Linked DNA regions of Saccharomyces cerevisiae S288C. Changing the gene in region 1 together with any one later gene gives a genetic interaction. Each region holds a gene or a part of one and is shown on either strand. Other genes may lie near its edges. The genes, in order: DSE4 and DPC29.

What was found.
Region 2: mutations in DSE4 (region 1) and DPC29 together harm fitness more than expected from each alone (negative genetic interaction), as found in Saccharomyces cerevisiae (2 studies listed by BioGRID).

What each region holds. Positions count from the first base shown.
Region 1 is NC_001146.8:756,805-760,734, reverse strand, and holds the start of DSE4 (endo-1,3(4)-beta-glucanase), read left to right. Parts: upstream 1-1,635; coding exon 1,636-3,930. Other genes in the region: YNR068C (uncharacterized protein), read left to right, coding at 1-668.
Region 2 is NC_001139.9:525,309-529,011, forward strand, and holds DPC29 (post-initiation translation factor DPC29), read left to right. Parts: upstream 1-2,323; coding exon 2,324-3,196; downstream 3,197-3,703. Other genes in the region: UGA1 (4-aminobutyrate transaminase), read left to right, coding at 1-1,336; VMA7 (H(+)-transporting V1 sector ATPase subunit F), read right to left, coding at 1,665-2,021.

The DNA.
Region 1 (3,930 bases):
TGGAGACGGAATTGATTTGCTTAACAACGAACACAAAAGATTGCAAACCAGTGAGGTTCCACAGTGATTTACTTTTAAAGAAGCACAAATACAATGAAATTAAGAAAATATTTAAGGAAATTTTGGAAAACATTGAAGCATATCGCGATGAGTTCACTAAAAATCAAACAAAAATAAACTTACTTCTTGCCGATGACGCAAGAGCTAGCCTGCGTAATAGATCGCTCGATTTTTCTGATTTAATGCCTTCGAGTATAATTAAGGACGTACAGGTTTTAGCCAATATGGAAGCCAATGTTGTTGTCATGAAAAATGCGTTGAAAACGAAGTTGGTTGGAGAGAAAAGTGTGCCTGTTGCTTCTTCTCCTATATCCAGCATAATTCCTCGAACTTCTAGGAATAAAAAAACCTCCCCATCAAACTATCACCATTCGGTACTTTCACATCGGAAATCAAATGAATGGAATCAGGTCAGTTCAACTGAGTATAAGAGAACACTGTTATTGAATATAAAATATAATGATGATTTTAAAGCTACCATAGTGCCAAGTTTTGAAAGTTGTTTATGCTCGAGGTCATATTTCCTCCGCGTAAAACTTCATTTTGATAAAGGTGTTGGATCTGCTGAAATTGATATCCCAGTTCAAGTTAAAAACTCTTTTATTTGATAGATGGCTGTTAAAAAGAATGGTTTCACTGACGAAGTTTTTATCGCTATTGATATTACAGTATCATTACTGATAAACACCTTAGTTCTTGCAGAACTGAAAGTGATAAAGCAAGGAAACAGTGCGCAGTAGCAATCTCTTTTACGATTGTTCTGCGTTTGCCAAGGTATTCTCAAAATACTTTAAGTACTAAAAACCTAAATAATCTCTATACATAGAACTTTGAATTTTCATTGTTTAAAAAAATGTACGGAACTGCTAAGAAAATGTACAAGGTAGTGAAAGCCCACAGAGAGGTACATTTCAAGTGATAAACTTTGCTTTTTAGATTTGAAAATGTGAAATCTTACCACTCTTTAAAGCGACCATACTAGTAATAACGCAGGAATAGTACCACTAAATGGGTTGCCATCAATTTTATGCGCTGTAAGCTGCGCATATGTTTCCTACTTAAGGTTATAAGCATAGAACTGGCCTTTCCTTCAGCAAAAGAATAGAATAAGCCTGCTTGCCAAGAGAACTTGCTCGATAGCGGAGTGCTAGCTATTTTATGACCAATTTGGTATTTGCTGGCATATTTTTGAAAGATCTGGCTTTCTTTTCTTTTTTTCTCCCCTTTTTACCTGAACCTTGTTACCGAGTTCAGCTGCGCTAAGCTCTTTTCGGCTATATTTTGTTATGAAAGCCAGCAGAAAAGGCACGAAATCTCCCAATTTGGTTACCAAGGAAAAACTAGTTAATCATAAAGCTGAACCCAAAAAGTTAAAAATAAGAGCTGGGTATGAAAAGAGTAGCAAAGCATATACACCATACGAAGACTACAAGCGAGGGTAAAGGACTACATATAAATACTTGGTGCAATTTGTTTCAAAAATGAATATCAAGTATGTTTCTTGTGCTTGTTTCAACAAGTAGATAACCATAGTAACGGTCTGCATACAGAAAAGAAAACAAAAAAACAGCTAGTATGCAATTATATCTGACACTTCTTTTTCTATTAAGTTTCGTCGAATGTTCATATATAAGTTTCATATCGAATAATGCAGACGAAATATTGGAAACTGATTTAATTGAAACTTTATCTTACGCTACTTTGACAGTAGGTGAGCCTTATGTTGCACAATCGGTGGTTGTAACAAGAGTATCTGCAGCTTCTCATAGCCCTCTCTCAGTTTCGCCAAAAAATAGAGTGAGCGCATCTCCAATTAATTCACAAGACAGTGATTCTAATACAAGAACAGCAGTTCAACTGTCATTGTCGTTATCAAACTACGCAAGCCAAGTATCTCAAAAAATAAGCGCACAAACCAATAATGATCCTGTCACTGTTTCAAATATTTACGCAAATGATAATTCGAAAAGCAAAAGTTCAGTACACAATTTGAGTTCGGTTTCCGGCGTCGCCTCAGTCATGCCAAGTGCATCAACAATGCGTAAAGTCACCACATTATTATCTCAAACTGCTTCGACTTCGACTTCGACTTTATTTTCTTCATCTTTATCTATTTCGGGGACACAATTAAATGGAACTTTATTGACTTCTGTTTCAAAAGGTACAATCGATCCACTGGTAACTCAAATGCCTTCCTATTCTTCCCAAGAAACAAAAATTATTCCTTCTTCATTGACCTCGAATAAAACGATATATACTATTTCAGTAAGGACAAATGCAGCTACAGCTACCGGCGAAGATTCCTTCATTGCTTCAACTCCTGCTTCCTCGACTTTGTTCTATCCATCCAACTCAACCCAGGATTTAGTCCAGACGCTCGCATCTACAACAGCAAGCCCTGCTTACCCATCTAATAGGACACAAATCACTCTTTCTCCATCTGTATCACTATATTCGACAACTAGTCCAATTTACCCTTCAAACATTACAGAAAACGGTTCTTCACCATCACCATCACTATCATCGACTGTTAGTCCAGTTTATCCATCGAGTTCAACAGGAAACATTCTTTTGTCATCACTATTTTCAACAGTAGATTCTTCTTCCTCTCCGGTTTCTTCGACATTAGATACCATTTATGTATCTTCTTCAATGCAAGCTACCATCTCTTCGTCCTCATCTTCGAGACAAACAAAAACTTCCTCCTCTTCTCTGTCAACCTCGACCAGTAGCACCGCTACCACAACGGAGAACTCTTCAACAACGACCATTGTCAATCTTTTCAATGCTGTTTCGACAGATGAACCACCAACTGTTTTTGACAGATCACCAAATCCTATGTCATTGGCTGATGGGGTGTCAAACGATGGTCCCATTCAAACAAACAAGTTTTATACAAATTTGATTGTTGGTAGTCAGGAATCACCTGCCTTTGTGTATCCTTATTCATTGTGGAAGTACACCTCGAGTTCATATGGTTTTGCTGTTCAACATACAACAGTAGATCAATATAGCTACGGTGGTTATGACAGTTCCGGTAATGCAGAATATTTGGTCAATCCTTTGGGAATTGCTCATGTTGTTTTCTCAGCTTCGAATTTTGATTCAAGTATGACTATGCAAGTTGATGAAATGACCTTGTCTTCAACAAGGGTAGTGCTATCAGAATCCAATGATTCTTCGAACTACCTGGAAATACCTTTGGTTCAAGGTATGGGATTTGCAACTGGTATATATCATGGATCTTTAAATGCCAAGATTGGTTCCAGCGTCGGATTCAATACCATTGTTTCTGAATCATCAAGCAATTTAGCTCAGGGTATTCTCAAATATCGTATCACCCTTTTGAATGGAGTCACTTGGTTATGTTACGTGATAGGACCAGACGATTTAACCTCAACGGACTTTTCATTGGAGGTGAGCTCAGAATATGAAATTAAAGCAAGCGCTAGTGTTGATGGTCTTATCATTCAATTGGCCGTCGCACCTTCTGAAACTGATTACGAGGTCTTTTATGATCAAGCCGCAGGTATGTACGTTACTAATTTCAAGCTGCAGGGTGTCTCTGACGGTTCTACAGCTACCTATGAATTTTCTTATACCACCCAAGGTGAGTCGGCATCAGGTAGCACAATGATTTTTGCCTTGCCCCATCATGAATCTTCATTTAGTGATATAATGCAAGACTACTATACCGGCATTCAACTCGCTTCTACAACTAAGGGTGTAATGAACGGTTATCTAACAACGAGCCTACAATTTTCCACATCTCTAAACAGACAAATATCTTGGTTACCATGGTCTTCTCAACTTGGCTCAAACCTTTTAGAGTATTCTAAAGAACAATTGCAATTATTAGCTGAAGTTGCC
Region 2 (3,703 bases), on another chromosome or scaffold:
CCAGAAGCAGTTAAAGGAACTGGGTGAAGTTTTTGACACAAGACCAGCATATTTTTTGGCTGATTATGAGAAATCTTTAGGTAACTATATCACTGATGTGGATGGGAACACATATTTGGATTTGTATGCCCAAATCTCTTCAATTGCACTTGGTTATAACAACCCTGCTTTGATCAAGGCAGCACAATCACCAGAAATGATCCGTGCTTTGGTCGACCGTCCTGCCTTAGGTAACTTCCCATCTAAGGATTTAGACAAGATATTGAAGCAAATATTGAAATCTGCGCCAAAGGGTCAAGATCACGTCTGGTCAGGGCTTTCCGGTGCAGATGCCAATGAATTAGCGTTCAAGGCTGCCTTTATTTATTACCGTGCCAAACAAAGGGGCTATGATGCCGATTTTTCTGAAAAGGAAAACTTGTCTGTCATGGACAATGACGCCCCTGGCGCCCCTCATCTTGCCGTACTATCGTTCAAGAGAGCGTTCCACGGTAGATTGTTTGCCTCCGGTTCCACAACTTGTTCTAAACCAATTCACAAGTTGGATTTCCCAGCCTTCCACTGGCCTCATGCTGAGTATCCATCTTACCAATACCCATTAGATGAAAATTCTGATGCAAACCGTAAAGAGGATGACCATTGCTTGGCCATTGTTGAAGAATTAATCAAAACCTGGTCTATTCCAGTTGCTGCCTTAATCATCGAACCAATTCAATCTGAGGGAGGTGATAACCACGCTTCTAAGTATTTCTTACAAAAGCTAAGAGACATTACCTTGAAGTATAACGTTGTCTACATCATAGATGAAGTGCAAACAGGTGTCGGAGCCACCGGTAAGCTATGGTGTCATGAGTACGCCGATATTCAACCACCTGTGGATTTAGTGACCTTTTCCAAGAAATTCCAAAGTGCAGGATATTTCTTCCACGACCCTAAATTCATTCCAAACAAACCATACAGACAATTCAACACATGGTGTGGTGAACCTGCAAGAATGATCATTGCAGGTGCCATTGGACAGGAAATCTCCGACAAGAAGTTGACTGAACAATGTTCAAGAGTAGGTGATTATTTGTTCAAGAAATTGGAGGGTTTGCAGAAGAAATACCCTGAAAACTTTCAAAACTTGAGAGGTAAAGGAAGAGGCACATTCATTGCCTGGGATTTGCCTACTGGTGAGAAGAGAGACTTACTATTGAAGAAATTGAAGTTGAATGGTTGCAACGTTGGTGGATGTGCAGTCCATGCAGTGAGATTAAGACCTTCATTAACATTCGAGGAGAAGCATGCTGATATCTTTATTGAAGCATTAGCCAAATCAGTTAATGAATTATGATTGTATATTAGCGAGGCCGTGTCACGTTCCCTTTTTTGGTCTTTATATATGTGTATCTTGTTATAATTTTAAAGAAAAGTTTTATATTACTCATCAGTTGTGTGTGAAAAATATGGGCGGGTATTCACAATAGGAAAAAAAAAATGGGTTTGGTGACTGCAGTAAAGACGTGCTAAAAAAAAAAAAGTTGTTTTTATCTGAACCTTAAATATATCATTTATGAGTGTATATATTATACAAACGCAATAACAGTGGCTCCCGCCCTCCACCTCCGCCTGCTACTAGTAATCTACCAGTAATTGTGTTTGTTTTGGGAAAGATCGTTCGCTTACTCACCGAACAACTTTCTGACTCTCTTCAATACAGAGTCCTTTTCAGGGTCGTAGGGATGATCTTTAGATGGAATTTCTAAAATAGCAGGGAACGCATTGGTGAAGGAGTCCACTCTAGCTCTTATGTTTTCCGCGATATGTTGGTTGATTAGAAGGATGGCAATATCGTCTCTCTCTTCAGTAAAGTGATTAAACTTGTCAGTGATTTCCTCCTTAGTAGTCTTACCTTCTTGGTAAACAAAAAAGTTCTTTTCTTGGGTTTCAGGAGTGATTTGTCCAATCCCGGCTAACAATAAACCAGTTGTAGTATCTTCGTCAGCTATCACAGCTATAAGAGTACGTTTCTCAGCCATGATTTAGTTACTATGCGTCAGTGAGACTAGCTATGAATATAGAAATGTAGTGCTCTATTTTCTTAATTCTTTGTCAACTCGATATAATAAATGTAGTGCTTGCAATTCACGTTGGTTTTCCTGTTATCGTTCGCCTTTATTTTTTTTTTTTCTTTCGTTTTCCTACTTCCCTTTACCGGCGTAAGCGCAGTGAAATTTTTTTAGTACGCACGTACGCAAGTTTCAGCAGCAATAAGGGGAAAGATGATGATAATAACTAAGAAAAACAGCAAACTTGGTATGAACGCATCAAAAATTGGAAAATGTTGGTAAGAAATAGGTATCTGGGTGAACTGCTCAAAAACTCTCGATCGTTTAGTGTGCTGAATTCCTCGGTACGTTCAGGTCACAACAAATGGTCAACCATCAAGCACGGTAAAGCCAAGAATGATGCGGAACGAAACAAAATTAATAACAAGTTTGCAAACCAGATAGCAATGTCAGTCAAGTTAGGCAACGGTATTACGGATCCGAGCATGAATATAAGATTAGCCACCAGCATCGAGCTAGCAAATAAAAACAATGTCAGCAAAAAAGTTATTGAGAACGCCATCCGGAAAGCTTCTGGAAGCAGCGCATCGGGCAAGGACTCAAACGCTTCTGAGCTATGTGTATACGAGGGAATGGGGCCCGGCGGGGTCGCTATAGTGGTGGAAGCGCTGACAGACAACAAGAACAGGACCATAGGTCTGATAAGGAGTGCATTTAATAAAGCTAATGGATCGATGACTCCAACGTTGTTTTTCTTCGACAAAAAAGGATACGTTACAATGGTACCTCCGAAGATGTTAGACACTGAGGACAAGGTGCTAGAAAGCGTACTGGAGATTCAAGGCATCGAAGACATTGCGCCTGTGCAGGAAGACGCAGAAGATTTAGAGTGTGATACCGAAACTGAAACTACAGGCCAAACTTACGAGGCGGTGATGGAACCTGCCGATACCAATAAGGTGGCCGCCCTACTGAAGGAGCGTGGTTTCCACATCAGAGACTTGGGCATCGGCTACAATGCCAAGCCGGATATGGAAGTTTTCGTGCAAGGCGATGAAACGCTCGAGAAACTACAGAAACTGACCACAGCGCTCGAGGACATCGACGAAGTGACGTCGTTGTACACTAACGCTAGCAACGCTTAATCCAACCAAACCGTAAATAAATAATCAATACCACAAATACCTGTATATACTAAACAAACAGTAGTAATAACTGTAATAAAGAGTAAAAACAACAACAAAGACAATCGTACGTAAAAACACCAAGCGGACACCAGCACTTGCCTGCTGCGGACTGTTGTCTGCGGACTGGCGGGGGTCGAGCAAGAACCGACGAAGTAACCGACGGAAGGCGGGCGGAGACGGAGACGCAGCCGAGATCTATTTTTACTCAGCGGTAATATTAGATCATGGCTAGGGGGATCTGGAAGTACAATGATGTGCTCTCCCCCTCTCAAACACAACACCAGGATGAACTAAGGGCTCATCTCGAAAGTCGAAGGTGCCTCATTCAGGTTATTAGTGGTGCCTGTTGTGTCTTCCATGAACAAGGAGCACTTAATTACTTGTTGTTGCATGAGATATCATTTTTTTTTTTCCCTCTTTCTTGGGGTCTTGACAGTCATCAAATCGAAGTTTTTAGTTTTTCTT